4 linked regions of the Caenorhabditis elegans genome follow. The protein of the gene in region 3 purifies or fractionates together with the protein of the main gene of each other region. This does not show direct contact. Each region holds a gene or a part of one and is shown on either strand. Other genes may lie near its edges. The genes, in order: spig-9, Y43F8C.13, txl-1 and rpt-5.

The links.
Region 1: the proteins of txl-1 (region 3) and spig-9 fractionate together in Caenorhabditis elegans (co-fractionation; one large-scale study listed by BioGRID). This does not show direct contact.
Region 2: the proteins of txl-1 (region 3) and Y43F8C.13 fractionate together in Caenorhabditis elegans (co-fractionation; one large-scale study listed by BioGRID). This does not show direct contact.
Region 4: the proteins of txl-1 (region 3) and rpt-5 fractionate together in Caenorhabditis elegans (co-fractionation; one large-scale study listed by BioGRID). This does not show direct contact.

Annotation. Positions count from the first base shown.
Region 1 is NC_003283.11:13,609,127-13,615,690, reverse strand, and holds spig-9 (Minor capsid protein), read left to right. Parts: upstream 1-3,805; 5' UTR 3,806-3,826; coding exon 3,827-3,896; intron 3,897-3,942; coding exon 3,943-4,127; intron 4,128-4,184; coding exon 4,185-4,274; 3' UTR 4,275-4,354; downstream 4,355-6,564. Other genes in the region: F53F4.7 (Nucleotide-diphospho-sugar transferase domain-containing protein), read left to right, coding at 1,724-2,092, 2,358-2,572, 2,627-2,794, 2,922-3,252.
Region 2 is NC_003283.11:19,691,245-19,700,549, reverse strand, and holds Y43F8C.13 (Nucleoside hydrolase), read left to right. Parts: upstream 1-3,151; 5' UTR 3,152-3,163; coding exon 3,164-3,194; intron 3,195-3,692; coding exon 3,693-4,053; intron 4,054-4,826; coding exon 4,827-4,948; intron 4,949-5,153; coding exon 5,154-5,354; intron 5,355-5,798; coding exon 5,799-6,001; intron 6,002-6,463; coding exon 6,464-6,562; 3' UTR 6,563-6,650; downstream 6,651-9,305. Other genes in the region: ani-3 (Anillin-like protein 3), read right to left, coding at 32-407, 1,224-1,536, 2,472-2,649, 2,708-2,767; Multidrug resistance protein mrp-7, read right to left, coding at 7,782-7,905.
Region 3 is NC_003279.8:3,226,348-3,235,806, forward strand, and holds txl-1 (Thioredoxin-like protein), read left to right. Parts: upstream 1-3,083; 5' UTR 3,084-3,100; coding exon 3,101-3,351; intron 3,352-5,263; coding exon 5,264-5,762; intron 5,763-6,633; coding exon 6,634-6,738; 3' UTR 6,739-6,939; downstream 6,940-9,459. Other genes in the region: cdt-1 (CDT1 Geminin-binding domain-containing protein), read right to left, coding at 532-1,495, 1,555-1,620; cogc-1 (Conserved oligomeric Golgi complex subunit 1), read left to right, coding at 7,044-7,111, 8,022-8,186, 8,901-8,980, 9,161-9,246.
Region 4 is NC_003279.8:5,737,835-5,745,137, forward strand, and holds rpt-5 (26S protease regulatory subunit 6A), read right to left. Parts: upstream 5,738-7,303; 5' UTR 5,721-5,737; coding exon 5,060-5,720; intron 4,968-5,059; coding exon 4,675-4,967; intron 4,611-4,674; coding exon 4,465-4,610; intron 4,410-4,464; coding exon 4,217-4,409; 3' UTR 4,034-4,216; downstream 1-4,033. Other genes in the region: F56H1.10 (uncharacterized protein), read left to right, coding at 1,669-1,829, 1,964-2,125, 2,165-2,278, 2,335-2,449; rad-8 (Reticulon-4-interacting protein 1, mitochondrial), read left to right, coding at 6,350-6,499, 6,544-6,732, 6,786-7,078, 7,124-7,262. UniProt on the Caenorhabditis elegans protein: Component of the 26S proteasome, a multiprotein complex involved in the ATP-dependent degradation of ubiquitinated proteins.

The sequences.
Region 1 (6,564 bases), on a different chromosome or scaffold from region 3:
GAACGCATATCTCTCCTCTAAAACAATTTGCATGGGTGGAGTTCAAAACAACGGAACCTATCGATTCTATGATGTCAAGAACTTGTTCGGACTGACTGAAGCAATTCAAACTCAACAGGCACTTCTCGATGTGACTGGAAAACGTGGAGCAGTAGTGTCAAGATCCACATTCCCGTCAGCTGGAAGATATGCGGGTCATTGGTTGGGAGATAATACAGCAAGATGGGAAGATTTAAGAACATCTGTAATTGGAGCTCAAGAATTTAATTTATTTGGAATTCCGTAAGTGATACGTGTAGAAGAAATTTAAATTGAAACCTACTTATTTTCAGATACGTTGGTTCAGATGTTTGTGGTTTTTTGGGAACTTCAAACGAAGAACTATGCCTCAGATGGCAGCAAATGGGAGCTTTTCATAGTTTCTTCCGTAACCACAATACTCTTGGAGAACCTGCACAAGATCCTGCAGTCTGGCCATCAGTAGCGGCCGCCACAAAGATCGCAAATCTCTTCCGTTACCAATACCTTCCACATCTATTCAGTCTTCATTTCCAAGCATCAAAAGATGGTCTAACAGTTGTTCGACCAGTCTTTTTTGAGTTTCCAACGGATTCTGCGACACTTGATTTGGGCTATCAGTTTATGTGGGGCTCCGGTATTCTTGTGGCTCCTGTAGTTTATCAAGGAGCAGTTTCCACAAGCCTTTATTTACCAAATGATGTATGGTACTCACTTTTCAATTATATGTATGGAAGTAGAATCGACCCAGGATTCATAACTGTTCCATCTCCAACCACTTCTAGAATTCCAGTTTTTGTTAGAGGTAAGATTTTGGTGTCGGATTACTGTAGAAGGTTTTTTGATTACGGTTACTCATTTAAGATTACATGAAATTAAATCTCTATTTCTCCTTTCAATGAAAACATGATTGTATTTAATCTAGTTTGAAACTTTGTTCAGGAGGCTATGTCATTCCACGCCAAACTCCGACTACAACAACAACAATGAGCCGATTGAACCCCTTCGAGCTCCTGATTGCACCTTGCCAACTTGGTAGAGCTGCGGGAGTTCTGTACTGGGATGATGGTCAGAGGATTGTGGACTCATTTGATACCCATGACTATCATCAGTTCGATTTTAAGTTCAACTCTACGATTAACGGTGCTTCGTTGGCCATTACAAGAACTAGAAAGGTTTGTGAATTAAAAATTGACTTTTTCTATACATGCAAATTTACAGGGAACAACTGTTTTACCTACATTGGATATTTTGGAAATCTTTAACTACACAACACCTCCGAACTTCCGATCGTTCCGTTTGAATGGGCAATCTATTAATGTCAATGTGCAGACTTCAACATACTCTGGAATCACCAAGATTCTAAACATTTCAACAAAGAATTTTATAGATTTGACTTCTTCTGATGTGATTACTCTGGAATGGTCAAACATGTGATTTTTTGATTGTTAAATTTTTTGTTAAACCAATAAAAAACTTTTTTAAAAATCAATAAAGTAAAGATAGTTCGTTGCCGTGTTAGCATTGCAATAAAACAAAAAAAAAACAGTAGATCCACGGAAACATTAAGTTTGCGCCCTTCTCTGTAACCTCAAGAGGTGTTCAAAACCTGACCACCTACTCTCGATGTTACAAATAGATAATTAAAAGTAGGACAACATAAAAACCGTTCCTAAGCCTCCCAGATTCAATCAACATAAAAAAGATGCGCCCATTCTTTATTGCATTCATTCTTTTTTCAGCTATTCCATTGTCTTTAATATTTAATAATATCTATCAAAATTATAAAAATCTAAAAGTTCTTCGCAAAAATGAAGCTGAATTTCATTGGAGTCATATTGTGAAGTATGAAGAGTTGAAGACAGCTGTAAGGAAACTTCCTGATGGATACGGAGTTATGCTTTTGAATCGACACGCTGTAAAAATGACTTTGAATTGGTTGTGCAATACAAAAAGTTTTGTGGGTGTTCACCAGAAAATGCTATTCTTAGTTATGGATAAGTTTTCGGAAGAAAGTCTTCGAAAAGTGTATCCAAGATTGAATATTGTCATCTGGTTGGCACCAGTACTTCAAGTGAGTTTTGAATTTAAAGGCGGAGTTGTTTGTTTGTGGAGTTTGATTAAAACAAGAGAACATTTTGAAAATAATACAATTAAATATTCTGAAATTTTTATTCTGAAATTGTCTAGGGTTCTCTAGCGCAACTAATTTCCTTTTTTTGTAGGTTTTTAAAAAAGTATTGTATAATGTTGATACTTAAAACTTAAAATCCTTAGCTTCCATCTGAAATATTTTTTCAAACAAAAAACATTAATTTTCATCACGTGATTATTTTCAGAAAACATTCCGCCCATATGACATAACATACATGAGCTTTTTCCTAATGAGAACCAATATGATTCATGCACTTCAAAAACTTGGAAAACCGTTTTGGATGCTTCAGGCTGATACAGTTTGGCGTGATAATTTTCTTAACTTGGTCGATGTGAGTAAATATGAGAATAGTGATATTCTTCTTGATCAACAAGGATTCGAAGGAACCGCTGATATTCGGTAATAAAATACAGTTGTTAAATATGATTGAAACGATTGATTGGATAATTTCAGAAAAAGAACAATGAACGGTGCAAACTTCTATATTCCCTCAAAATCTTCCAGTCAGTCTTTAGTAGAATCATGGTTATTTTGGCAGAAAAGTGTGTATATTACTGACCCAGATCTTGTTAAAATGTTTTGTCTCCGTGGAGATTATTCATGTGATTATGTTCCATACAGGTATGGCTACCAAAAAAGTTGATGATTCAAGGTTTCATATTTTTAAATTCAATTTAACTTAAAATTTATCCAAGGCATCTTAAATTTTAAATCGATCTTCTAAGCTCATCAAAACTGTTATTTTCAGTCTGGTAACGGGATGGGAATGGATTTACGGAGACCAGAAAAACCCACCGATCATGATTCAAATGGACGGAGAAACTGGTGGAAATAAGGAGAAAGTGCTTGAAAAATATAATTTCTGGTTTTTGGATAAAAATGACAGATGTAAAGCAGATAAAGTTTCAAAAGGAGTTCAACATATGGTTGATGGAACTGTGCCACGGATTATGACGCAATCAAAGAATCGCGAACAATTTTATTTGAAACTCGGAGAATTTCTCAATCAAATTCCAGTTTTCGGACATTATTCCAGCATTTATGGAGGACTCACGTCGCTTTATTTACAGTTTTTCTGATTTTTAATAAAGTTTTTTGAACGTTTTTATGGCAACTTTTGTGATCGCCAGAAATGCCAAAAGTAACATACTATCGCAAACCGTGCTTGCTAAATTTAATAAAATATAATTCATTAATTTAAAAAAAAACAGAAAAAAGTCAATTGAGAAAAATCGCAAGAAAAAACATTATTGGTACTTACACATTCAATGTGCAGTTTTTTTTGTGTATTTATTCCCAAAAGGTTATCTTAAAAAATTACTTGAAGATACTGTTATTCAATGAAGGATTGATGTCTGAAATATACAAAAGTTCTCATATGTCTTCTATTATTCGAACATTTCACTAAATTTTTTATAAATCAAATGCCCTCTAGGAATGTCCAACAAATCAAAACCTATTACTTTTGTTCCCCTGGTTAGTCTCTCCCAATTAACACCAAAGTTCATCTCTCTGTAAATCCGCCTACATAACCATATCGATCGAACAATGATCATTTTTCATACGATAATCCGGCAGTTTCCATGTACCAGTTAATCCGTTAGTATAAAATAACAGGTAGATTCCTCATTTGACGATTTAAATCATTTCAACATGAACTCTATCTGGACATCTCTTTTTGTAGCAATTCTCGCTGTTTCCGTTATTGCCCTCAACGAGAATGGTAAAGTTACTAATTTAATTTTCGATTTTAATTGATAGTTCTTTAGAAAACAATTATCTGCAAGAGTTGCTCGATGCTGGAATTTCCCAGGAAACCGCTAACAAGCTTGTAGACATCACAGCCAGCCACAACAACGATGGAGAAATTTCTGAGAAATCAGGAAAAACTATTTTCCAAGAAATCATTTCTGAGACTGATGCAGCTATCAAACAAGCACCAGCTAATGATCAGGTTAGTATTTAGTTCAAATGTTTGTCTCCCAGGAGTATAAGTACCCATTAATTTCAGCAAGCCTACAAGGCCTTCGTTGAAAGCAAGGCAGCTGAATTCGGTCAACCAGACGAGATTTCCATTCAAGTTGAATCTGATTCCGAATAATTTTCTAAAACTCAAGTATCGTCTGTATTACAATCTATGATTGTTCGTAATTTTTATTTTTGAGTAAAGTGTTATTCTTCAGTTGTGTGAACTAAATTTTGAACTTCCAAATTTTCCAAGGCTGAAACTAATGTTGTCCTGTTCAGTTGGCAGCCAGAAGCCAGACCACAAAATATGATTGATCTTTGAAAGCTAAATCTTCCAGAATCAATCCTCAAAGCTTCAAAAATCTGAAAATCAAAGATGAGATAACAAAGCTTTAGTTTTGAACGAGCAAGTGAAATAATGGACTTTCACTTTCCCTGCTTTGCAAGAAAGATTTCAGTGTTCTGGATTTAAGTTTTTAACATGAAACTTTTTCATTAAGACTACAGAAAAGGAAAGAATTTTTCAAGTTTTTAGTTTTTGAATATATCGACAGTGTGTTTTATACCTGCTAATCTTAAGTTTGTCGGTCAAATTCTGTGGTTTTTTTGCTATAAATGAGAGAAAACAGTCCCAATCAAGGGTGTCAAGTCCCGTGTCCCGTTTGTCCCGTTGTCCCGTTTTTTGGGTGTTTTCGCGGGAACGGGACATCCGTTGTCCCGTTTTTGTAATTTTTACGGGACATTGACACCCTTGGTCCCAATATACCAAATATAACTGTAAAAAATTCGTCGAATTTTTCTAGATTTTTAATGATCTTTTCAATTTCCAAAAAAAAGAGCTGCATTATTTTCAAATTTCCGCACAAAGAGATGTAGTTTTTAACATTTTAAGCGTTTTCCAGCAACACTGATACGCTTTCCTTTATTTATTCTTTGAAAAATTAAGAAAAACCAACCAGAAATGCCGTAAAACGCAAAAATATTGAAAATAATTCAAAAATAATTCAGCTCTTTTTATTTTTTTGAAACGAAACATCATAAGAAATCTAGAAAAATTCAAAACATTTTTCATCTTCAATCGTAAGAATTTATTGAACTTTATCTGTAAAGATGTTTGCAGTTAAATTTATCTGAATTCAATGTTTGTTCAAAAGTTGTAAAACTATTAAAACCCCATTAAATTTTAGCATCAAAAACCAACAAATAATTTTCCATCAAATTCTTTGAGCTGGTAAACTTTGATTTCACAATGCTCTCGCTCCTCCCCTTCGTTGCGTGGGTAGTCTCTGAAAATCAACAAAAAAGCTTTCAGACTTCATTGAATTTCTTGGTTTATAATCCCGATTTATTTCGACCATCACTCCATTCCCACAATTCACGCACTAACCGTCCTCTGGGAACAAGAGGCGACGACTGCTGGAGATATTCCCGCGCGGACGCATTCAACTTTTTAGCGTTAGCCATCTCTAGTCTCCGTCTCTAATTCCTCATTGTAGGCTTCCTCATTCTCTTGCTGGATACGATCCAGGTCACAATGTCTCCGCACTCTGCGTCTCTCTTCTAGCAATTATATTTCTCTCGTTTTTGCCGCTTCAATCCATCGGATGCCTTCTCAGCTGCTGCACGTAGTCCTTCTGTTGATTTCGAAATTCTTTGTTAGTATGCACTTTTTGAATCTCGACCGCCTCCTCGAATGATATTCTTTTGAACCATGGTTGGTTTGAACACGACTCTCGTTTCTATTCTCCACTTTTGATATTTCTTTGCAAAGAAAAAGGTTTTGCTGGTTCAATGAAATCTAGGCGATCTTGAACTTCTGCAATTATTGCACTTTTACCATATCTGACACACTTTTTCTGCAAAAAGACGTCTATAAAAAGCATCCCCACTGATCATCGAAATTGAGATTGTTGTATTTTTATTGATGCAGTTAACAAAAAAAACTTTATATAGCATTTGTAGTCCTAATGTTGATTTTTTAAAGAATTTTCGATTCATAGCTCATTTTTTTGAAATTTCTCGGTTTTTTAAATAGCTGTTTTTGCCATTCTTCTTGTTTATTTTTCTATTTTCTCTGAATTTTTAAATAATGCATTATCTATTGGAACATTTTACTGATCAACTTGCCCAACATTTCTATTAGGAAACTTTTTCATTTCAAATCCTTATTTTCTTATCAATCTCTCCATCAAAAACACCTTTTCCTTCATTTTTTGTATCTTCTTCCCAATGCAATAACATCATTCACACAATTCCTCACAATTCGTGACATTCCTGACATGTACGTGACATTCTAGACTGGGATACTTTCCTCAGTCTAGTTGCTTGTAGTATCTGTAAAGTCGTGTAAATAGTTTTTCTCAAAGTTTTCCCTGTGTACCAAAGGCTTAAAGTCATCTCCAAAAACTTATACTTTTCAGAGC
Region 2 (9,305 bases), on a different chromosome or scaffold from region 3:
AAACCCGCCAAAAATCTCAGATATAATCCACCTGAAAAGCCGGTGGTGGTTCCGAGTGTTTCGGCGGCCGACACATTGCGGGTTTCGGTGTCGAAGTGGCAAGTGCAATCGGTGCCTGAAGCTTCTTCACAACAATTTTGAGTGGACCCCCCGCGGAGCCCGACGAGCATCGATATTCAACGATGGGCTCTCCAGCGGCATACGGTGTGAAAAGCGTGGGCGAACTCGTGAATTTCGGCGTTTTTGGGCACTCAGGGAGCTGGAGAAGATTTTCCTGATTTTCTGGAACTCCAGAATCTTGAAATGTTCGGTTTAGGGTGCTCTCCTCGTCGTACTGCTGGGATTCCAGATTTTCAGAATTTTCAGCATTTTCCAGCACCTCATCCAGCACCAGAAGCTCTTGGAAACTGCAAAAAATATCGATTTTTTACCGATTTTTGACGAAAATATGCTCGTCGCCATTTTGTGGGCTCCAGAATATCGATTTTTAGGGAACATTTGACTGAAAATTACAAAATTTGAGCGAAAATAGCTCATAACCGTTTTGTGGGCGTGGCCTGTTAGGCTCCGCCTTTTTTTTTTTGAAATTTTGAAGTGTCAATTTGTGTTTTTTCCTGCAAATTTTTTTTTTTTTTTTAGTATTTAGATAACAAGCTCCACCCATTTGGTGGGCGTGGCCTGTTAGGCTCCGCCCTCTTTTTTTTTGAAATTTTGAAATTTCAATTTGTTTTTTTTGCTGTAATTTTTGTTTTTTTTTAGTATTTAGAAAATAAGCTCCGTCCATTTGGTGGGCGTGGCCTGTTAGGCTCCGCCCTCTTTTCAGGCAAGAATATCGAATATTAGAAAATTTTTGACTGAAAATCCGAATTGATTTTTTTTAATTGATTTTTTCGCAATTTTTGCCGAAAAATCGCTAATAACCATTTTGTGGGCGTGGCCTGCGCGGCTCCGCCCCTTCTTAGGCGAGAAAGTCGAATTTTCGGTAGTTTTTTACTTAAAATTCGATATTTTAACAAAAAAAAGTTGGGCAATTCAAAAAATTGTCTCAAAAACCTCAAAAATTTCTGCAAATTTTCGATTTTTATAGGAAAAAATTAAAAATTTGAATTTCGCGGCTTTTTTTTGGACATTTTAGATTTTTTTTTAAAGGAAAAATGTCAAAAATGGCTACAAAATTTGAATTTTTTTCGAATTTATAGCATTTTTGCCGCAAATTTTCGTACTTTGCCACGTCATCATCGGAATTTTCGAAATTTTCAGATTTTTTGGAAATTCCAACGTCATCAGCCACGTAGAGCTCCTCTTTATCCATTTTTTGGGCCAAATTTCGCAATTTCAACGGTGTGGCTCCATATGGATAGGCTCCGCCCACATTTGGAGCATTTTGAGCATTATTCGAATTAAAAACGACAGCCTGGGTGCCACGACGACCATGAAAATGACGTTTTTCGTACGGTGAGATGTATTTTTCCGATTTTTTGGCGAGAATTTCCGGAATTTTGGAGGATTTTGAAGTTGGCGGTGGAGCAATGTGTTCTGGAAGAAAAATGGGTTATTTTTGGCGGGAAATTTCGAATTTTGAAGATCATTTTTGAGAAAAATGTGAAAAGTTGGAAAAACTTGAATTTTTTTTTCGAAAAAAAATTTTTTTTGCAAAAAAATTATCGTTTTTTGGAATTTTTTTAAAATTCGCTCAAAATTCGTAAAATTCCCAATAAAAAGTGAATATTTCGAAAAAAAATTTTTTTTTAATTTTTGAAAAAAAAAAAAATTTTTTGAAATTTTTTTTAATTCTTAAAAAATTTAATTTTTTTCACAATATTCCTTAAAATTAGCTTAAAATCACAAAATTCTAAATTTTAGCGATTTTTCCACCGAAAATTACAGAATTTTAACACAAAATCCGACAATTTTGGTGGTTTTGCTGGAAATTTAGAATTTTCCAGAGGTTTTTCCGTTTTTTCAGGATTTTTTAGAGAAAATTTTCGAAATTCACCAGAAACTCAATGGTAAATTGCCAATTAAAATGAAAATTTTGAAAAAAAAAATTTTTTTGAATTTTTGGAAAAAAAAATTTCTAAAAATTAGTTTTTTGCAAATTATAACTATTTTCTCTGAAAAAGTCCAATTTTGCAAATTTCCACTCAAAATTCAATTTAAACCATAATTTTCATCCGAAAACTTGCGAAAAATCCCATTTTTTCTGGATTTTTCCCAAAACTTTTGGGATTTTCCGATTGTTTTTTCTAAAAAATCAATTTTCCATGTAAAAACTGTATAGTTGGTGTGTTGACAGTGCAAATAAATTAACAATACATGTGAATTTATAAATTTGCATTTGAATAGGAGAAATACCGGGGGAAATGGTTTTTTTTTCTCATTTTCCTCAATTTTTCTCAATTTTCCCCATTTTTTTCCAGTTTTTTCGCATTCCCCTATCGATTTTCTCAATTATCGATTGATTTCCGCACCATTTTCAAGACTTTCAACCCTTTGCGTGGGCGGAGGTGGGGGCTTCTGCTCCAGCATGCCGGAGCACTGATCGAACGCGGCGACGAGATCACGAATTCGGCCGCGTGGCACCGGTTTGCGCCACGTAGCATCTGACGGTGGTGTATCGACGATCGGGTGCGGCATCCAGCGGTAGAACTGGAAAAAATTCGGATTTTTTGTGAATTGTATCGATTTTTCCGGATTTTTGCCCTACCTGACTTGATCCGATTGGCACCGGAGTTGGCGGCATCGATTTTCCGTCGAAATTCTCCATTTTTCGTCAAAAATCTCCGAAAAAACGGCGAAAAACCGTCTAGAAATCGCAAAAATCGATTTTAAAAATTCAAAATTCCATCGAATCCCTCACATCACTGAATTCGTGGCGAGACCTATTTGAAGTTTTGAGCTATGCGCCTTTAAGAAAAACCGTAGTTTTTTCGCGAATTATCGCATTTATGCGGAATTACGGCGAAAAAGCGAGAATAATCGAAGAAAATGCGATAAGAATTGATAAAAAATGATAAGATTGTGTGCATTATTCAGGTGACAGATTGATTTTTGCCCAAATGTTGCGTTTTTTGCGACGAGAAATAATTCATATATTTATTTAGTTATTTTAAGTTTAATTTTTTCACTTTAATAACATTACGCTCTTCAGAAAAAAGACAACATGACTGTGGACAAGGTTAAGCTGGTCATTGGTGAGTTAAACGGAGAATAAAAACAAATTTAAACCAATTTTTGAGTAAAAAATTCTATAAAATTCGTTAAAACTCGAGTTTTTTCTTTTCTTTTTTAAAATTTCTACTTTTCTACGTTCAAATACACCGAAAACGTATTAATTCCGAAGATTTTCGTTAAAACACTGGAAAATTCGAGCTTCCCGCCAGAAAACTGAGTTTGTCATTGGAGCGTGATTGCATTGCTTGGCGATTTAAAAAAACGAGTCTAGACGCTTCAATAATCGATTTTTTCGGATTTTCAGATGATAAACGAGAATTCTAATTTAAAAAAAAACAAGAAGTCTTCAAATTTTCCACTTATTTTCGTCAAAAAACACTTGAAAATTTGAAATTAGCGTCGGAAAACGGACTAGTTCACTGGAGCGCGCTTGCTTAGCGAGTTTTATCGATTTTTAAAGTTTTACATAAAGTTTACCAAATTTTAAGCTTTAAAAACAAAAATTAATCGATTTTCAGACTCTGACGGTGTAAGCGACGACGTGCGAGCCATCTCCCTAGCCTTGCAGCACCCAAAAGCCGAAATTCTCGCATTCACCGCAGTCCACGGCTGTGTGACAGTAGATCAAGCCTGTGCGAACATCAAAAGAACCATCCGAGCCAACGATCGGAGCAATATCCCAGTGTACAAGGGTGCGGCTAAATCGATTTTGTCGCTGCCGAAGGATGATACCGTATCCGATTTTTTCGGGATCGATGGGATCGGTGATAAGCCGGAGGAGTTCCCGAAAGTCGAAAGATCCGATTTTGAGGGGGAGGGGAAGCATGCGTCACTTGCTTTAATCGATATTTTGAGAGAGAATCGGGATGCCACTTTGGTGTAAGTTGAGGCTACAGTAACCCTTCTGTACCCCCACCGCATCCCTACAGTACCCCTACAGTACCCCCACAGCGACCTACAGTACCCTTGCACTATCCCTACAGTACCCCACAGTACCCCTGCACTATCCCTACAGTACCCCACAGTACCCCTGCACTATCCCTGGTACCCCGGACAGTTCCCCTCTAGTATTCACGCAGTAGTGTTACTGTATCCCCACAGTTCCCCACTGTGCCCTTGCAGTAACACTACAGTATCCCTACAGCAACTCTACAGTAACCCTATAGTACCCCGACAGTACCCCAACAGATCCCCTACATAACCCTACAGTACCTCTGGTAACCGAACAGGTACTCACACAATAGTGTTACAGTACCCCTACTGTTCCCCCCACAGTACACACACAGTAACCCTACAGTAACCCTACACTAATTCCACTAAAGCCCTATGGTACCATAACTGTATACCTACAGTATTTCTACAGTACCCCTACAGTATCCCTGGTACCTGGACAGTTTCCCTACCCTACCCCAATAGACCCCCTACAGAAACCCTACAGTACCGCTTCAGTACCCCTACAGTACTCCTACAGTACCCCTACATTACCCCTATAGTACCTCAACATTACCCTTTTAAAGTCCTACGGTACTCCTACAGTATCCATACAGTCCTCCTACATTTTCGCCTACGCCGAGCTATTCTGGGTGTCAAATTTCGATTTTAATCTATTTTTGCTCAATTTTCCCTAAATTTTCAACAAAACCATTTTTCAGAACCATCGGTCCCCTCACAAACGTGGCGATTGCTCTCCAACTCTGCGAGGAGTTTTCGACGTACCCATCCCGGCTGGTAATCATGGGAGGAAATTATTACGCGGTCGGAAATGTTGATGGAGGTAGGTTCTTCAAAAAAAAAACTAGGGTGGACCACTTTGGCGGGCCATATCTCGTTTCATTTTTGAGATATTAGAAAAGTTTCAACTATAAACCTGTTCAGAAACATGTAACAAACATTTCATCAGTTAACAATTTGTTGACAAACCCAAAACCGACGGAGATACAGACCCGTCAAACCCCAAAAAGCCCCCCTAATTTTTCCAGGTTCCTCAGCCGAGTACAACTTCCACGGAGACCCGGAAGCCGCGAGCATTGTGCTCCGACGTATGAAGTGTCCCATCACCATTGTTCCATGGGAGGCATTCTATTTTGAATCAAAGACCCATGATGCTTCAGTTGATTTTTCGGCTCATTTGAAGTATGGAACCCCATTGGCTAATTACTTATCGCTGGCCACCAGCATTGGTAAGGTTTTTTAAAGTTATAACTCGAAAACTAGGGTAGATACTAGATACCAAAAAAAAACTGTCAATTGGAAAGTTGTTCAGCGTAAAATTCTGCATTGATTTGACCCCCATGTCGATAATTTTCAAATTTTCGAATTTGACACTTAAAATTGCTCGCGGAGCTCCTAGCCTTTCCCAATGCTTCAAACGTATTGAAATTTCGTTTTTCGGATAACCCGCAAAATCCTACACCCAGAAAACTCAACTTCCAGCCTTAGCCAGCAGTTTTGTAAAGGGGTCGAAGTGGCTCAACTGGGTACATGTACGGCTTTGGTGAAATAGGTCCGGGCTTCTCGAGGCCCCGCTAGTGTGTCAATAATTTTTTTAGAGTTCGAAGGTCTGTAGATTAGTCAACAAGTACATTTTTTTTTTAGAGTTCCTAAATTCGATTTGTATGTTCCAGGCCGCGTAAAATGCGAGGCCAACGGCCGCCAATACTCCTACTGCGACGAGATCGCTGTGGCTACTGCAATCGATGAGGATAAAATTGCAAAAAAGTCTCAGTACCTGTATGTCGATGTAGAGCTGAATGGAACAAAGACACGTGGGCAGGTTGTGGTTGATTGGACCGAGCAACTGTGGTCGAATGAGGAAGCTCCGAATCAGGTGAAAACAAAAAATCTGGGGTTCTGTATAGTTTTTGAGGCATAACTCGGAAACTAGAAGAGTTATCAAAAAGTTGCCAACTGAAATGTTGTTCAGCGTGAAATTCTGCATCGATTTGACCCCCATATAAAAAATTTTCAAATTTTCAAGGTCGATACCCAAAATTGCTCACGGAGCTTTTAGCTGCTCATGGTGTTCCAAACTTATTTAAAACATGATTTTTGGGTTCCCCGTAGTATTCTACATCAGGTACGGTTGAATTCCAGCCTTAGCCAGCAATTTTGAAAATGGGGCGAAGTGGCTCAGGTGGGTAGATTGATGAGGCTATTGTGAAATAGGTCAGGGGTTCGAATCCCTTTGGGTTTATTAGTATTTTTAATGTTATATACAATAGATATACAACACTCAGACAGTCCAAAATCTAGATATTATCAATTTTTTGTTTAATAAACCAATTTTCAGCACACCCATCGCCGTGTCAAATTCGTCACCTCTTACGACGTTCATACTGTGGACAAGTGGCTTCATGCAGCCACTTCTGGAAGTGGAAAATTCGATTAACTCTTTAAAACTGTAAAATGTCACATTTATTGCTCTTATTTATGGTGTGTGTGTGTGTGTGTTGAAATTTGCAATAAAAAGTTATTTTTTAATGAAAATTATGACTTTTTCGAAGCATAACTCGAAAACTAGAGTAGATATCAAAAAAGTGTCAACTGAAATGTTGTTCAGCGTAAAATTCTGCACCGAATTGACCCCCATTTAGAATATTTTGTAATTTTCGAATTTGACACCTAAAACTGCTCGCGGAGCTCCTACCTGCTCCCGGTGAACCAAACTGGCTGAAAATCTGATATTCAAAATAACCGTGAAATTCTACACCAGGGACACCTAAATTCCAGCTTTAGCCAGCATTTTTGAAAAATGGTGAAAGTGGCTCAACTGGGTAGATGGACGGCTATGGTGAAAAAAGCCAGGGGTTCGAGTCCCCGCTAGTGTCAATAATTTTTCCAGGGTAATGCAACATGCAGGCAGATGTTTTAATGGAGAACATCAGAAATTTCAGCTGAATTTCGCAAATTTCAGGTTTTTCAAATAGTTTTCCGACTAAATCGCAAATAACTGAAAAACTAGAAGAGTTATCAAAAAGTTGCCAACTGAAATGTTGTTCAGCGTAAAATTCTGCATCGATTTGACCCCCATATCAAAAATTTTGAAATTTTCGAATTTCACTTCTAAAATTGCTCACGGAGCTCCTAGCTGCTCCCGGTGCTCCAAACCAGCCGGAAATGTAGTTTCCTAGTTTCTAGTAAAATTCTACATATATAAAAAACTCAAATTCCAGCCTTAGTCAGCATTTCTGAAAAAGGATGGAAGTGGCTCAACTGGGTACATGGACGGCTATGGTGAAATAGGTCCTAGGTTCGAGTCCCCGCTAGTGTCAATAATTTTTACAGAGTTAGTTGGCCCTCAAAATAGTCGAAAATCTAGCAATATACTATGTTTTTCGCGAAAAAATCAATTTATTGTTCTTCTACTTAACAGAAAACGGCTAAAAATCACACAATTTCAACAAAAAATGGGTAATAGGTAATAAAATATGAGTTGAAAGAGAAAAAAAGGGAGAGCACCGGTTTCATTTTGTGTGAGAAGTGAAACTTTTCGTGAAATTTCCAAAAAATTGAGCATTTTTCGGGAATTTTCGGGGGTAAAAATTGGGGGATAAATATGAATTAAAGCTTTGAAAATATTAATTTTTGGGTGTCAATTTGTGTCAATTTCACTCGTGTTTGTCCTGTTCCGCAGCGTCGGCGACCATTTTTGCGAAGGCGCTGTTCTTGTCGGCCATTAGGGCGTCCGGTGTGTCGAATTCCAGAATTGAACCCTTATCGAGCACCATTATTCTGGAAATTTGGGATTTTTCGGGGTTTTATGAAAGGTAAAATGTGGGGGTTTGCGTTGGAATATTCATCGGGAATACCAACAAAAAAAAATTTTTTTTTCAAAAAATTCCAGTTTTTTGGGTAAAAAATCCCAATATCAGCGGAATTTTTTGAAGATTTTAAAATATTTTCCAAAAAAAATTTCGATTTTAATTCATTTTCTGAAAATTTTATTGACTTTCAGACAAAAATTTCCATTTTTAGCCACTTTATTAAATCAATAAATCGTAAAAATTCGATTTCAATAGAAAAAATCGATAAATCAAAGAAATTAAATTCAATTTATCAGAATTTCAGACATTTTCAGACAAAATTTTGGTAGAAAATTGCGATTTTTACGGACTTCTTCAGGCAGTTTGGGGTAAAATCGAAAAAAATCAGTATTTTTTTTTCAATTTTTGATTTTTTTTAAAGAAGTAAAATTATCGATTTTTTGGGAAATCGATAAATCGCAAAAAAATTTTTAGATTTATCGATTTTTCATAAAAATTGAAAAAATTATTTGTTTCAATTTCGATGCTAATTTTTAAAAAGTCAATAAATTTAACAATCTTCGATTTTTAAAAAATCGATAAAATTCGATTTTGCTAGAAAAATCGATAAATCAAAATTAAAGTCAATTTCTTTGAATTTCAAGCATCTTAAGGCGAATTTTTATGTCGAAAATTACGATTTCCACGGTTTTCAGTCAGTTTTTGGTTAATTTTTCGAGTTTTTGGAAAAAATCTATAAATCTAATTTTTTTCCATTTTTTCATAAAAAATCGAAAATCGGAAAAAAAAAAATTTTTTTTCGATTTTTTTTTCGAAAAATCGATAAATCTAATTTTTTCAATTTTTAATATTGAAAAACGATTTTTTTTTTCGATTCTAATAAAAATCGAAAAATTCCCGATTTTTATAAAAATCGATAAATCGATAAAAATTAGATTTATCGACTTTTCAAAAAATTGAAAAAAATTGTTTTTTTTTTTCAGTTTTCGAAAAAATTAAAATATAAGATTTTTATAAAATTCGAAAAATCACAAAAAAAATTAGATTTATGGATTTTCAAATAAATTGAATTATTTTAGGATTTTAAAAATCGATAATTGTAAAGGTTATCGATTTTCAAAAAAAATCGATAAATGGAACAATTTTCGATATTTGAAAAATCGATAAATTAATTTTTTAAAAACTCGATTTTAATAGGAAAAAAAATCGATTTATGGTAAAGTTATCGATTCGATTTATGGTAAAGTTATCGATTTTTGACAAAAATCGATTTCAAGCATTTTCAGACCAAATTTCGGTCGAAAATTACTATTTTACGGTCAATTTTCCAGATTTTTCAGTCAAAAATTCTCAAATTTTCAGTCTTAT
Region 3 (9,459 bases):
GGTGTTTTTTTCCCGGATTTTTTTCTTAAAATTGAGTTTTTTCGAATTTTTTTACTAAAAAATTGTTTTTTTTTTGGATTTTTTAAACAAAAAAGTTTTTTTTTCGAACATCTGGTAAAAAGCTGTGTTTTTTCTTACTTTTTGAAGAGAAAATTGTGTTTTTTTTCAGTTTTTTTTTGAGCAAAGCTAGTATTTTTAGAATTTCCAAAAATTAATATAAAACCAGGGCTTTTTTTTTGAATTTTTTGAAAAATTTTCACATCAAAAATCAGTATCAGGAGCATGAATAGGGTCTGTTAAAAAATAGAGAAATATTTTATTAATCGTTAAATATTTTCGAGTTCAAAAATGTGTGGAGGTGATCAAACAGAGAAGAAAAATCGATAAGTCTTTTTAAACTTAAAAGAATGCTATTTTACGATTAATATAATATTTTTTCTATTTTCTGACACTAAATTTTAATGGAATACGTCAGAAATAGCTGATTTTTTAAATGTTTTTATTGCAAATTGCCAACCGAAAGCTACGAACCTTCCACGAGATTCGGTCGAACCTCAAGTTCATACTTCCCGCCCTGGCCGAATGCTTTTCGCTGTTCACGCATCTCAATATGATATGATTGAGGATATACATGAAGAATTTGTGACAAATGTTCATTGGAAAAATCCTTTCCAGACGTATTCTTAACATTCTTGATCAACTCAGGAACCACACAGCTTCGATTCTGACCGATAAAGATCGCAGTGATCTGATCGATTCGTTTGAAAGTATCAGCGAGATGTTCATACGCAGTTGGAAGTTCAATCCGTTGACGTGCACTCTCCTTAACTTCATCAATAAGCCGTGAGCTCTTCAGAAACTCTGCAGTCATTCGTTTTCCCTCTTCTTCGTGAGCATCATCCTGCTCTCCGCGAACTTTTTCGGCCGATTTCAGGACATTAAAGCCGGGAATAATATAGTCTGGAACTGGCTTCTTCGGTGAGAACAGATTACGAGCGGCCTTGGATTTCTGAGGTGATTTGTGATGCTCAACAATAACTGGTTTCTTCGGAGATTTCAGCAATTCCACGTGATCATCGACCTGCTTCGTTTTGTTCTTCAAATTTTGCTCATGAATCGCTTTAGCTGCTCCTTTTGCAGCTATTCTTGCTTGTAAATCTGCAACAGTTCGAATTCCAGCCTTCTTTTTCGCTGGGCCGGATGCTTCCATTAGCTTATCGATCGCTGACTTCTGAGGAGCCGGATTTTCCAGAATAATATCTTCATGGATTTTGGGAAGCTCAGGGGCTTCTGCTTCAGCTTCTCTAGCTTTTTTTGGCGGAGTTCCGGAACTCGATAATTCCGCTTGACGGGATGGAGTCCGAGCGCGAGTTCGGGAGGATTTATTCTCGACGATTGGAGCAGCAGGAATTTGTACTTCTTTAATTGTAGTGGTCTTTGTGATGCTTTCATCGATAATCTTCTTTTCTCCTCTTGCTCTCGGTTTTCTGGTGGTCTGAAAAAGAAAAAAAAACATTAAATAATTGCAATTCATAACTTCAAACTCCAATTTACCTTGAAAAAGTCGGTTACAGCAGTCTGCGGAGTCTGGGACCTGGATCTAGTCACCCGGGAACTCATTTTTATCAGGAATAAATAATAATTTCAGCGAAATTATTCGCGAAAACCAAAAAATAAATGGGAGAGACGACAGACAAAGCGTACACTTTGAACAGTCCCGGTTTCCCGCACTTTTTGTCCATTGGAGCGCGTTTGTTGTCCGCTGCGTCTCCACGCTTCGTGCACTCCCTCGCCGCACCGGCATTCATTTTGAATGCTGACAAATCCACGTTTCATGCCGATTTTCTTAATTTTCCGGAATTTATACTATTTTTTGCATATTAAAATTGTGTTCAGAGCGTTTAAAAGTGCTTTTCACCTATTTTAGCGTGTAAAATGCCCAAAATTACCCAAAAATCAGTTTGAGAATGAATGCATTTTACTGTGGAAACCTTCAAAAAATCTTTTTTTTAATGAATAATTATTTAAATTGGCGTGATTCCTATATTTTTTGAAATTTTTTTTTCGTTTTTTCTTCTGAATGAGATATCTTTTGCTCCTAGAACTATAAACTGAACAATTTTGGAAGCGGTGATCCCAGAAATTACAATTTTTCGGTCAAAATTTCCCCAGAAATCGCCCAAAAAATAACGAAATTTCACAATTTCTGCGTATTAAATAGCTAAAATATATTCGTGCATTGTTCCGGGAGTATTTACAATAGCTTTTGCCAGAAATCCCAAAAAAAATGATGCGAAAGCTTAAAAATTGGAATTTCAGCGGGAAAAATTCAACAAATTCAACTACAAAATAACAACTTTTTTCAAAACCCAATTTTTTTCTTTAATTTTTCTTTAGATTTTGGGGATTTTTCCCATTTTTTGAGATTATTTTGCATTTTTCGATTAAAAATCCGTATTTTAAAGGTGGCGTAGTCGAATTTTTTTAAAATTGCTTCATTAGACTCAAAATTGTCTCAAAACACCGAATTTCATGATGAAACTGCTTGAAAACTTCTCAAAAAAAGTTATGACTGCTCAAAAAATGGCCTAAAATTAGTTAAAATTTGAAATTTGACCGACTTGTCAAGCGGCTGGAAACTAACTTTTTTGAAATTACCGTCTAATTTTGAGTATACAATTATATTATCTTGCATTTTCAATTTGATTCAGATATTTTGAAGTCGATGGACGGCGAGATTTTTAAATTTTTTAAACCAAATCTCGCCGTCCATCGACTTTAAAATACCTAAATCGAGTTGAAAACGCAAGATAATTACATTTTATATATACTCAAAATTTGACGGTGATTTCAAAAAAGGTAGTTTTTAGCCGCTTGAAAAGTCGGTCTAATTTCAAATTTTAACTAATTTTAGGCCATTTTTTGAGCAGTCATAACTTTTTTTGAGAAGTTTTCAAGCAGTTTCATCATGAAATTCGGTGTTTTGAGACAATTTTGAGTCTAATGAAGCAATTTTAAAAAAATTCGACTACACCACCTTAAAAAAATAAGTGCAGTAATCTAAATATTAAATTAATTTTCAGCCCATCTCCCCTACACCATGCCAGTTATCAACGTGAAAGACGACGAAGACTTCAGAAATCAGCTTTCCCTCGCTGGTCTCAAGTCAGTGATTGTCGATTTCACTGCAGTCTGGTGCGGACCGTGCAAAATGATTGCTCCAACATTTGAAGCTCTGTCCAATCAATATCTTGGAGCAGTTTTTCTGAAAGTTGATGTGGAGATCTGCGAGAAAACCAGCTCAGAGAACGGTGTCAATTCGATGCCAACGTTCATGGTTTTCCAGAGCGGGTATGGGTCTCATCTGGAATTGGAATAGAAATGCGGGAAATTTGAAGAAATTGCAAAAAAGTGAAGTCTCAGAAATTATTTCATTTTGAATATCTTGAAAATATTGATTTTTGCAGGTTTTACGAGCCAATTTGCAAGAAATTTATGAGTTTCCAAATTAAATTTTTTAAAGATAATCAAAACAGGGCTCTGCCATTTTTAATATGCTATAATCCAACTTTTTGATCTAAAATTGATATAGAAATGTAGAAAAAATTTATGTTCCATCTGAAAATAATATTTATTTTTGTTGAAAATTTTGAAAAAGGCCTCAAATGGTGCGAGGCCTATTTCAAATTTTTCAAAAAAAATAAATAATTTTTTCACATGGAACAGACCTTTTTTAAATTACATTCCTATATAAAGTTTAGATCAAAAAGTTGGATTATAGCATATTGAAAATTGCAGAGCCTTGTTTTGATTAATTAAAAAAAATTTAATTTGGAAACCGATAAATTTCTTGCAAATTGGCTCGTAAAACCTGAAAAATCAATATTTTGTGGATATTCAAAATGAAATTGAAAAGGCTTTAAAAGCTTTACCCTTAGTAATTATTTCTGAGACTTAATATAACATTTTCGATTTTCCGGAAAATCGGAAAATCGAAAAAAAATCTTTTTCTGACAATAAAATAAACTTTATTTTTTACTAAATTTTGTTAATGTTCCTGAAAAAGAACATAAGAGAACATACATTTTTTTCTAAAAAGAAGAAAAAAAAGAAAAAAAATTGAGCTTTTTTTGAAAAAATAGGAAAAACGAAAAGTTTTCGATTTTTCAGATATCGCATAATCGAAAAAAAAATATTCACTCAACTTTTGTAAAAAATTCGAAGAATCAAATTTTCAGCCGTTTCTCTTATATTTGGAAAAAATTTAATTAAAAAAAAAAAATTAAAAAAAAATAAAAAATTCAGAAAACCTAATTCTATAATTTTTTTTCACAGTTGAGCACAAAATAAAAAATTGCAGAGTTTCGAAAAAAAAAAAGCCAAATTTTGCTAAAATCTGAAATTTCTCACACTTTTCTTTGTCACAGCTGCTGGATTTTAGTTTTTCTGGAATTATCACCCTCTAATCCTTATTTTGGTAATTTATCTCGCGGAAATTCGTTAATTGAGGCAACTTTTAGGCCGATAGGCATCCAAAAATTATCAAAATTGGATGCCTATCGGTCTAAAAGTTGTCTCAATTAACGAATTTCCGCGAGATAAATTACCAAAATAAGGATTAAACGGTGATAATTCCAGAAAAACTAAAATCCAGCGGCTGTGACAAAGAAAAGTGTGCGAAATTTCAGATTTTAGCAAAATTTGGCTCTTTTTTTTTAAATTTTGACCAGCCATAAAAAATTTTTGGAAATTTTTTGTGAAGTCTCATTATGAAATTCGGTGGTTTTGGACCAGTTTTAGTCTATTTAAGCAAAATACCCACAAACTCTACAGAGGTGGGCGGATATTTTTTTCGGATATTTTCTAATAATGAATTTATCAATAAGTATTGATGTAGTTATTCAGGAAGAAATGTATCCGAACAAAAAAGTAACTATTAAGCAACATTCTAATATGATAAAACCTAGAAAAATTCTACAAGTTTTCTGTATAAACGATATGCAAGTCCATTATCCGATATCCGTAATATCCGATATCCGATGTTGCTCGGCTAATAAGTTTTAAGGTCTCGGTAAGGAAAACTTGTAGAATTTTTCTAGATTTTATCATATTAAAATGTTGCTTAATAGTTACTCTTTGATTTGGTTACATTTCTTCCAGAATAACTACATCAATACTTATTGATAAATTCATTATTAGAAAATATCCGAAAAAAATATCCGCCCACCTCAGAAACTCTACTCCCCAAAATAAAAATTTGCAGAGTCCGCGTGGAACAAATGAAAGGAGCCGATGCAAAAGCACTGGAAACAATGGTGAAAAAGTACGCAGACAACTCGGCAGCCGACTCACTGGTTGCTGGTCAAATGGACTTGACACCTCTTGTCGATAAGAAACAAATGGAATGTTTGAATGAATCTGATGATACTCCACTGGGACGTTTTCTCGAAGGAAACTGCAATCTGGTTTCAGATTGTGATGAGCAATTGATCATCTCACTTCCATTTAATCAACCAGTCAAAGTTCATTCAATTCTTATTAAAGGAGTATCGGATCGTGCTCCAAAGAAGGTCAAAGTGTTCATTAATCTTCCGAAAACTACGGATTTCGATAATGCAACAGCTCTGGAGCCAACTCAAATGTTGGAATTTGATGAATCTTCTATTCAAGGGCACGGACAAGTCGTCGCGTTGAAATATGTCAAGTTCCAGAATGTTCAGAATATTCAATTTTTCATTGAGAATAATGTCGGTGGAGGAGATGTAAGTTTCGATAAAAATTACTTTGAAAACATTTAAATTTACTAAAATTTTACCCAAAACTATTGATTATGCTTTTATTTATTTATTTAATAAACGTATTAAATAAATAAAGAAAGATAATTAAAGATTTTCAGTAAAATCACGAAAACTCGCTTTATTAATGAACGAATTTCGTGAAGAAACTTCTCAGACATTATTGAAAAAAAAAAATTGAAATTTAGCTAAAATTAGCAAATTTTTTTTCGAAATTTTAAACCGCCATTTAAAAAATATTGAAAAATTGTTTTTAATATAAAATGTATTCCGGCGAAATTTCGGATTTTAACAATATTTTGGTTTTTTTTCCGATATTATTTTAGTTTTTGAGCTGCAAAACAATTTTTCGGATTTTTTTTGGAAGTCTCATTATGAAAATCGCCGATTTTCTGTAAATATTAATTTTCGGAAAACTGCCGATTTGCCAATTTGCCAGAAATTTTTAAATCTGACAATTTGCCGATTCGTCGTAAATTTTCATTTTCGGCAAATTGCCGATTTGCCGGAAATTTTTAGAGGGATTATTTATAAGACGGAAAAACTTAAAACTATGCCTTTTTGAAATTTTTTCCCCATTTTCTTTAGATATTTTCATAGAATTTGCCTACTTTTCAAAATAAATGTAGAAATATTCATAGGATGCGTACAATTTTGCCGATTGAAATTTAAATTCTGAAATTTCCAAAAAAAAAAATTTGCAAAACCGCAATTTGCCGTTTTTCCGGCAAATTCGACATTTGCCAATTTGCCGGAAAAATCGTTTGCCGCCCACCCCTGGTTCAGAGCAAAATTATTATAATTTTCCAATTTCCTCCAATTTTTTCCTTTTTTCCAGGTCACTGAGCTCGTCAAGCTTACAGTCTTCGGAACACCTCTGTCTGCTCTCAACATGAACGAATTCAAAAGAGTCGCCGGAAAAGCTGGAGATGCAGCTCATTGAGCCCATCAATCCTTCTTCCTATCAACTGATTGTGAGCCAACGAGTTATCCAATTCATTTCTCTAATTGTCATGTACCAAAAACCATACTTTCGCTGATCCCAGTTTCCATATTTTCCTTATTTATTTCTCGATTTGTGTATCATTTTTATTTTAATTTTAATTTTAAATTTAAATTTATTTTTTTTTCTCAGCATAAACACATTTCTCCAAGCTATCCTATTCAATTTTTAACTCGAAAAATGTTTCATTTCATCTAGATATTTCTAATTTAATTTAAAAAAAAGAAAAAATCTGAAATTTTCAGATGGACGTTGACCGGCTCATGCGTGACCTATCGGTCGAGCAACTGGAGAATATTCAGCAGAATTTGGAGTAAGAGAAGCGGGAATTCGAGAAAATTCGAAACAAAAGCTTCTCCTCGTGGAGTACACGAGGGCTGCGTAAATCGACACGTGGATGTGTTGAAGAAATTTTTGTAAAATGAGGAATCGGAAAAATTTGCTGAAAAAAATTAATTTTTTAAAACAAAAATTAATTGAAAATTAGAAATTTTTAATGTTTTCTGGTGAAAATTGGCTGAAAAAGTATTTTTTTTTCTCACAAAATTTTATTTAAAAAATAGAAATTTCAATTTTTTTCGCGAGAAAAATATTTGCAAATTGAAATTTCAAAAAGTTCAGAAAAATCAACAATTTCCAAAAAAAAAGTGATAATTTTCAATAAAGGGCTATAATCTTCGAAAAAGCTAAGAAAAAAGCAAAACTAAGAAATTTTAATGTTTTCTCGGGAAAATTGGCTGAAAATAAGATTTTTCGGGATTTTTTAAACAGAGTGTTATTTAAAAAATAGAAAATTCAATTTTTTCATGAGAAACAATTTTTTTTTAAATTTTCACATCAAAATTTCAAAATATTCATTTAAAATTGAAGTGCAAAAAGCGTATAATGTTTCCAAAAAAAGGTATTATTTCCAAAAAAAAAATCAAAATCGCTGATTTTCAGAAACTAATTTTTTATAAAGTCGAAAAATCGGTAAATTCCAAAAAAAAAACACGATAATCTCCAAAAAAATCCTTAGTTTTCAAAAAAAACAGTGATAATTTCCAATAAAATGCTATAATTTTCAAAAAAAAAACGATAGGTTTCAGAAAATTCAATAATATATTGAGAAAGTCAAAAAATCGTAAAAATTCCACAATTTCCAGCAAAGAAAGCTATAAGTTTAAAAAAACGATAATTTTCAGAAAAATCGATAATTTTCGAAAAAAAAACATTTTTTTCAGAAAAGAAATGGAAGGAAAACGAGAAAGTCTCCGTGAAATGGTCGGCCGTCGGTATCGAGATGTTCTAGAAGCTTCTTCAGAAGTTCGTCACGTGTGCTCTTTGGCTGATAAATTGGCCTCAGATATTGCAAATACAAGAGTTGGATATCAATCCACTCATGTTAGGTTGGAAATATTTCGCAAAATTTGAGTAAAAACTCGGAAAAAATACGGCAAAAAATTCTATTCAAAAAATTGGAAAAAATTGAATTTTTCCAAATTTTTAAAATGGTTTTTTTGAGAAAATTTCGCAAAAAAAACTAATTAGGAAAATTTAATTTAATTTTTCATTTTCAGACATTTTACCCCGAAAAAAATTGCTGAGACCCTAAAATTTGTCTAAAAATCGATTTTCTAGCAAAAAATTAGACTTTTGCGGAAAATATTTAATGCTAAATTATCGATTTTCAGACAAATTTTAAATTTTCAGCCGTTTTTTTAACAGAAAAAAAATGACTGAAAACACGAAAAATATGTTTAAAAGCAAATAATAATAATAATAATAATAAATTAATAAAAACCAATAAATATAGCCGAAAAAACGCTCAAATGCCGAAATTAGATTGCGCGGGAATTCAAAAACCATTAATAAACAAAATTCTTCAATTCCAGAATTATTTTCAATTTTAAGATCCGAAAATCGTTAGAAAAATATATATTCTACTTCGAAAAAAAAAATCAAAAGTTATAAATCAAAAACTCAATTTATTCGGATTTGTTTTCAAATTTTTAACCTAGATAAATTCAAATATTTATCACATTTTTGCACGGTTTTCCAAACAATTCTGTAAATTTCAGAGCAAAAAATTTGAAAAAAAAAATAAAATTTTGAATTTCCAGAACCGGAGGACGAGAGGAACAGAAAGCGGGAGAACATCTCTATGCGGTGAACTATTTGGTTTCAAGTATTGGAGGAGATAGTATGGGCTTTTTTTTTTGAAATTAAAAATTGATTTCAACTTAATTAATTCAAAAATGTCAGCGAATTTTAGCGATTTTTACTGAAAAAATTTTTAAAATCATGAAAATTGAGTAGTTTTACCCGTAAAACAAATTGAAATGCTATCAAATTTCATTTTTAAAAAATGTATTTTTTCCAGGCGGTGAGCCACTGGACGATGTAGTTGCTCTTTGCATGGTGGAGCATCTTCAGAAGCAGCTCATCAGTAATCATTCGTCGCCAATGGTCAGTTTAAATAAATATTGTTGGTAGCTGCGCTAAAAAATTGGATTTTGAAATTTTCGAAAAAAAAAACAATTTAAAAAAATCTTAAAATTAATTTTGGTCAGATTTTTTCTAGATATTTTTGACAGTAAATTGTTGAACAATTGGGAGAAATTTCAGGTTTTTCGAGGAGAACCGAAAAATGGAAATTTATTTTTTTTAACTTAAAAAATA
Region 4 (7,303 bases), 2.5 Mb from region 3:
TTACATCTGATAGAAAACATGTATCATTTCCAATGTCTAAGAAATTCGAAGGAACTCCAGAAAAACTGCTAAACTTTGCATTTGCTGCATATTCTCTGGAAACTATTAGTAAGATTTCAAATATTAGTGAACACTTGGAAACTGTGATCAATAACGGTGAAGCTGTTCTAGGAGCTATCAAGAATATAACTCATCTGAAAATTAAACAAGAGATTGAAGAGACTTGGAGCAAATATCCGGAGTTGAAGAAAAGCCTGGAGAAATTTAGAAGTAATAAAATGAAACTGGATGATTTTATGATATCTGTCAGAACTGAGAAAAACCTTTCACAAATTGGATCAATTTACAAAGAAGTCTCAAATATTCCATTTTCAATGCAATTTGATTTTAGAAAAATGAGAGAATCTTTGAGATACCTAGAAGTTCCCATGAAAGACATGGAAACATCATTAGGAGTACTTGAAAGATTATTTGGAATCAACTGGGATCTTGTTTATACTAATTTCGTGAAAACTCCATCGGATATGGTAGACTTGCAAGAAGAGTTCTTGAGATTTTTGGAATCGAAAGAAGAATCAATTGATTGGGCTTATGTTGGTGGTGCAGCAGCAATCGTGGTCTTTATTTTGCTGACATCAATCTTGGGATATTGTATTGAACGTTGGACGTGGACATGCGTTTAAGAAAACTATGAGGTAAGATTTTTAAAAATATATAGTCTGTGAAATGATTTTTGGCGGAATTGCGTTCGTGGGAATTTCACATCATTATACTTTAAATGTTCTAATCTGTCGGAATAACAGTCAAATTAAATCTACCTACGAAAACGTTATTTCCCAAATTTAGCTCCTATTCCTGTTTTAATTTTCTCCAAAATGAAAATCCCACTTTTTGCCCAATAAGTGTCTTCAAACTCTACACTCTATAATTTAATTGATGTGTTAACCTGCAATTTAGAAAAATATTTAGAATATGCAATAGTTGTACGGAGGCTTTCTTTGATGTTGTTAGAAATGAAAAAGAACTGAAATGTCAGCGTAAAGGATTTTGTCGAAAGGATGTGAAGGAATGGAAAAAGTGTGAAGCATGCAGATATCAGCAATGCTTGGAAATTGGTATGACACTTGAAAGTAAGTCCGATTTTTGTGCCCAATATTATATTCGTGAAAATTTGATGCTCAAAAAACATTGTAGCTTCTTTATTTGCATAACAAACTTCATAAGTTTCAGGTGTTCCTCCTGGCAAACAGCGTCATTCGGCAAAAAATAAAAAGCATCAAAAACGAAGCAAAAGTCTCAAGCCGTCTAAAAAATTGGAGACACCATCAGTATATGATAAGGTAGGTTTTTGCATTGTTGCCATTTTTGTTGAAATTTTAGTCATTTACTTTTCAGTCTGAAGACAACATGGTTTAGGCACATTCGAGTTTGTCAAGTGAAGAGGCTGAAAGTATGAAAGCTTTGACGTCGTGATCAATATAATTGCATACTTTAATCAATACTGGGCACTTGCTCTATTCTCCAATTCTTTCTGTTTTTCACAATCTATTAAAACAAATTAAGTTCAATAAATAATTTATCAAAATTAAAATTTCCACTTTTTCAATTTCCAAATATCATTTCGCTAAACATTTTCCATTTCTCGTTTTACTTTGTCGTTTGACAATTATGAATTCTTCTCAATATCTCAATGGAATCATTATTCTAATCACCATCTTGGCCATGTATTGCAATGAATTATCGATTAAAATTGATATGGAATGTGATTTTGGTGGTAGTGATATACCACGTGTCTGCGTTTTCATCGAAGTTTTTGAAGATGAGCCTATGTGAGTTTATTGTAAAATATTTCTATGGCTTTTATTTCCAAAAATTAGTAGGACCAATCAGCGTAGTATTCCAGATGATTTTTTGAAGAGAACTAAATCCACAAGTAACAGTGAATCTTAAAACAAATATTTAGGTACGAACAACTTCTCAGAAATCACTCACGATGTATTATCACTGACTTAATTCATTTTTCAAGAGAACTTGAAAATAAGGATTATTTTTATCCGGAAGGCGAAAAGCATCGCGTTCGAGTTGGCATACCACCGATTAAATTTCGGAAAGTATTGAGAAACCAGTTAGTTTTAATTTTAAAAAACTATGCATGACTTTCAAGTTTACAGGAAAATTTGACAATGTTCGTGCAAATCTCTCACGATTGTAGTTCCAATAGGAAAATTCGATGTTTTGAAACTTCTCTCTATTACAATACGACGATTTCTAAAAATGAGTGAGCATTTTAAAATTTCAATAGGGTCAATTGACAAAAAAATATATAATTTATAGGATATTCATTACTGATAAGCTGAAAGATCAAGGAAGAATGAGAGCATGCAGTCCACGTTGGGAAGGTAGCGAACTATGGAATGGTCAAATGTTAAATGGAAGATATGATCAATGAATTTTGTTTGAAATAGTTTTGTTTTTTTTTTATTTCAGTGCAGAAAAATTTCTTTGAATATAGAGTAGTACTGTTAATGGGAACTCAAACCAGTTTAACTCAGTACACTTAATCTGATTGGGACTATTGGTCTTGCAGTTCTCAATTTAGTGGAAACTTAATTTGAAGATAGATGTTTTCAAATCTTGGAATTTATATTCTTTCTTAATTTGTTTCGTTTTTCCCTTGCAATACTTCTGAATTTCAGCCTGGTATTTTGAGCAGAATTATATTTTACGAATTCTACTACAAATATTTCAGGAGCTTCAATCAAGCACATAATTTTTTTAAAGGACTATCTAGGCAGAAAATTTGTTTCCACTTTTTTATTAGCCATTCAGTTTTTTTTCTCTCCCAGCTTTGAATGACTCTCAGGTGTCCCATACTTTATTATCTGAAATATAAATACTTTCTCGGCTGGAAACACCACAAGATTTGAATTTTAATATACTCTTTTTCTTCGTGATTTTTGCCTTTTAATCTATTAAAATATCTATTTCAAAATATTATGAATTCCTATACGTTTTGAGAACCCCCTTCAAAAATCTTTCAGTTTTGAACATGCGTTTGAGTTTTTAAATAATTTTTTAGATAGGCAAGTTTAAAAAAAAATTAAGATATCAACAAATTTAGAACAACCTGTAATTTTTTTAATGTATTTATTCATTTATGTTTTAGTTATCGTGAATAGAAAACCGCCGCAAAATTGCTTGAAAATAACTACCATAAACCTTTTGGCGCGTTACCACCCATCAGAATAAATCCGTGCGCCTTATAGAAAGCTTGCCAAAATCTTGTGAAAATACGATAAAAAATCACAATAATGTTTTAAAAGATTGAATAATCAATAATTCGAATTTTCAGGATGTGGGTGCATCTTACGGCCAACTTTTGACAGTGAATGGCTCAAAAAGACAAATGAACGTGTCTACAATAATTATTCTCATTTTGTTTTCAATCGACCTGAGATCACTTATCCAGATTGTAATGCAATTTCTGCTTTGTGTCCTCCGCAATCAAAAGTAGTAGCATATAGTCATAAGACAAAAGAATTGGTAACAGATACACCACCTGTAAGATTAAAATTATTTCAGAAAGATAATCAATGAAATACAAATATTTACAGCTCGAGAAAAATCCCTTTATACTTTCCGAACTTTTCTGCATCGATGGAGAGTGGTTCAAAAGAGGTGTTGGTTCCGAAGATTCGATGCTTACAGGATCCCCAATTTCATGTGCAACTACTAAATAATTATCTGATACACTTCGCATTATTCAATAATGAAATTGATAACAGTAATTGTAAAGATATTTCAATTGATAAATATTTTCAAAAAAGAAAATACTTTCTATCTAACGAGACCCAAATGAAAGAGGCGGAGCGTTTCCATTTGGCACTGGGGCGCGATTGCACTTTAGCTTTTCTCTGCATACGTTTCACTGACGTCAGTACTGACTTCTGGATCGGTCAAGTTACAATTTGAGATGTCTCGCTAAATGTTTGAAGAGCACGCAGAATGTTGAAACAGTGAAAGAAACACATTTCGAAGAGTGACCATTTATGCACATTGATCGGAAATAAATTAGGAATCCACGCACTTCGAGGATGAATCAATAAAAACAGGAGAGGGGTGGGAATAGAATACGAAAGATGAAAGTAAGAAAAAATCGCGTGAGAAAATTCGGGAGCGATTCAAAGGGAACACAGTGACAACCGGGAGTGAAGGATTAAGCGTAGTAATTGAGGGACGCCTTTTTCTTTGCCTGGACCTCCAGAATAGCATCCATAAAGTCTTCATGAAGAATCTCAGTAGCATCTCGTCGAAGAGCAATCATTCCAGCTTCAACACAAACCGCTTTGCATTGTGCTCCGTTGAAGTCATCGGTACAGCGGGCCAGTTCTTCAAAGTTTACATCCTTGCTGAAAAAAATTAATTAGACTAAATTTTACAAATAAAACTGTCGCGAAAACATACTTGACATTCATCTTCCTGGAATGAATCTGCATGATTCTGGCACGGGCATCCTCGTTCGGATGGGGAAGCTCAATTTTACGATCGAGACGACCAGAACGAAGAAGAGCGGGATCGAGCACATCGATACGGTTCGTTGCAGCAATGACCTTAAATTCATATTTACAGCTTATACCGTCTTAAAAATATAACTTAAAATGGAACTCAGCTTACCTTGATATCATCATTTGGTTGGAAGCCATCAAGTTGATTAAGAAGTTCCAACATGGTACGTTGCACTTCACGATCTCCAGCTTTCTCTGAATCGAATCGCTTCGTACCAATGGCATCCAACTCATCAATGAAAATAATAGCTGGAGCCTTTTCCTTAGCAAGAGCAAAAGCATCACGAACAAGCTTGGCTCCATCTCCAATGAACATCTGAACAAGTTGTGGGCCTGCGAGCTTCAAGAATGTTGATTTAGTTTGGGCAGCAACCGCACGGGCCATCATCGTTTTACCAGTTCCTGAAAAACGAATAATTTACACTTGAGCTGTTGTAATTAAAATGGTTATTTTCTAGGAGTACTACTTTATCAAAAATTTTTCGTAATCTTACCTGGTGGTCCATACATGAGCACACCCTTTGGAGGATGAATACCCAAATTAACAAATCGATCCTTGTGAGTCATTGGAAGCACAACAGCTTCAATCAGCTCCTGAATTTGCTTGTCACATCCTCCGATATCGGAATATTGTTCAGTTGGCCGTTCGTCAACTTCCATAGCCTTCACACGAGAATCATATTCTGCTGGTAATTTTTCAAGAATCAAATATGAATCCTTATTGACACCAACGAGATCTCCTGGCTTCAACTCATCTGGATCGACAAGTCCAACAACTGGTAAGAAATATGTGGCACGAGTGGAAGTCTTAATGACTGCGCACTTGGTTTTTTGGGCATCGAGATCAACATTTGCGCCTTCTTCTTCTGTATTATCCTCGAGATCAAGAAGTTCGACAACGTTGGACACCAAGTACGGAAGAGTTTTGTTAACTTTGATACGTTCAGTATTCTCCTTGATCCGTTCTTTGAGAGTGGTTGCAGAATGATTGATACGTTGAACTTCACTTCTCATAATACGAATCTCGTTGTCCAACAAGTGGGTACGGCTTTTGAGATCTTCCGTCGACATTTTCAGAATCTCCTCATCAATAGCATCCTCCACCTCCATTGCCTCTGGGTTTTTTCCGTCTTTTGGCGGTGGTGTTTGCGACATTGTACTGCTTCTGGGGCCTGAAAATTAGTTGTAATTGCTTCTGGTGAGATCTGAAAAGTAGTTCCAGAGAATAACGCAAAGTCAAAGTTCTGGACAATAAAATAAAATCAGTAACACAATGCGGTGTAAATGAGAATATTTAGTTCAAAAAATTAAACGAACGCTAATGTGTATTGAGCGAGTGACAATGAGAGAAAGTGTTTATCACGAGAAATAATGATTAGAATAAAAGAAAGTTTGACTTGATAATTTCACGATGGCCCAAAGGTTACGTCAGTATTTAGCTTACTATTAGGTTTACGTTCCGTCCACAAAATCTGTTTTGGCTAGCTAAATATTATTTAAAAAAGTTTAAAATTTGTGTTACTATCTTCAAAATATCTTTAATGAGTTCTCAAGATAAAAAATTTTGAATATAAACTTAAAAAAAAACAATAATAAGCTTTTTAGCCTTCAGTAAATGATAAAGAATCCAAAAGAACGAGAAATTTTGAAAAGGATGATTTGTGCAATTTAGCGTCGCGGTGAACCACACAGAAGGCATTTAATTTTACGACACTTGAAGTCTTCGTGCAGTTTTATTTGTTTTTATCAGAAAAAAGTTATTTCCACATGAAATTTTCAGCAAAATGATCGAAAAAATGATTCTACGAAGATTTTTCTCAACAAAATCATCAACGATGCGTGCATGGGTCTCTGAAAACGGATCTGGAGTTGAGCTCAAAGAAGTGCCGCTTCCAGTCATAAACAAACCAGGACAAGTCCTTCTAAAAGTTAAAGTGAGATTAATATTTCTTGATTCAAGCAATTTAAATATTTGTAGGCAGCGTCTGTTAATCCGATCGATGTTGACATGTCTCAAGGATACGGTAGAGAATTCCTAGGGACGTGGAAAAAAATAGAGTCCTGTGATGCAGCCGCGTCTAGATTCCCTCTAATTCCAGGAAGAGATTGTACAGCTGTTGTAGAATCTGTTGGTGGCGATGTGCACAATTTAGCTCCCGGTGATGAGGTAACGAAATCCTATTATGCATCGATTCATGATTAAATATCGTATGTTTTCAGGTTATGGCTGTTGTTCCTGTAATTCTTCCAGGCACACATGCCGAGTTTGTTGTCACTGATTCGAAGTATTGCTCTAAAAAGCCCAGCAATTTGAGCTTTGTATCAGCTGCCGCACTTCCTTACGTCGCATCGACAGCCTACTCAGCTTTTACAATAGCCAGGGTCTCACAACGAAATGCCAAACAACAAAGAGTTTTGATTCATGGAGGAGCCGGAGGAGTTGGAAGTATGGCAATCCAGCTATTGAAAGCATGGGGATGTGAAAAGATAGTGGCAACGTGTGCAAAGGGCAGGTTAGATTATCTATATCTTTGCAATTTTTCAAATAAAAATTGTAGTTTCGATATTGTGAAGCAACTTGGTGCAATTCCAGTCGACTACACATCAGACCAGGCGACTCAGGAATTGATTGAGCATGCACCATTTGAAGTTATTCTTGATACTGTCGATTCCCAGCTAGCAAAGTGGAGTGATAATGTAAATATAATTGAGAAGTGGAAATTAATGTATAAAACTAC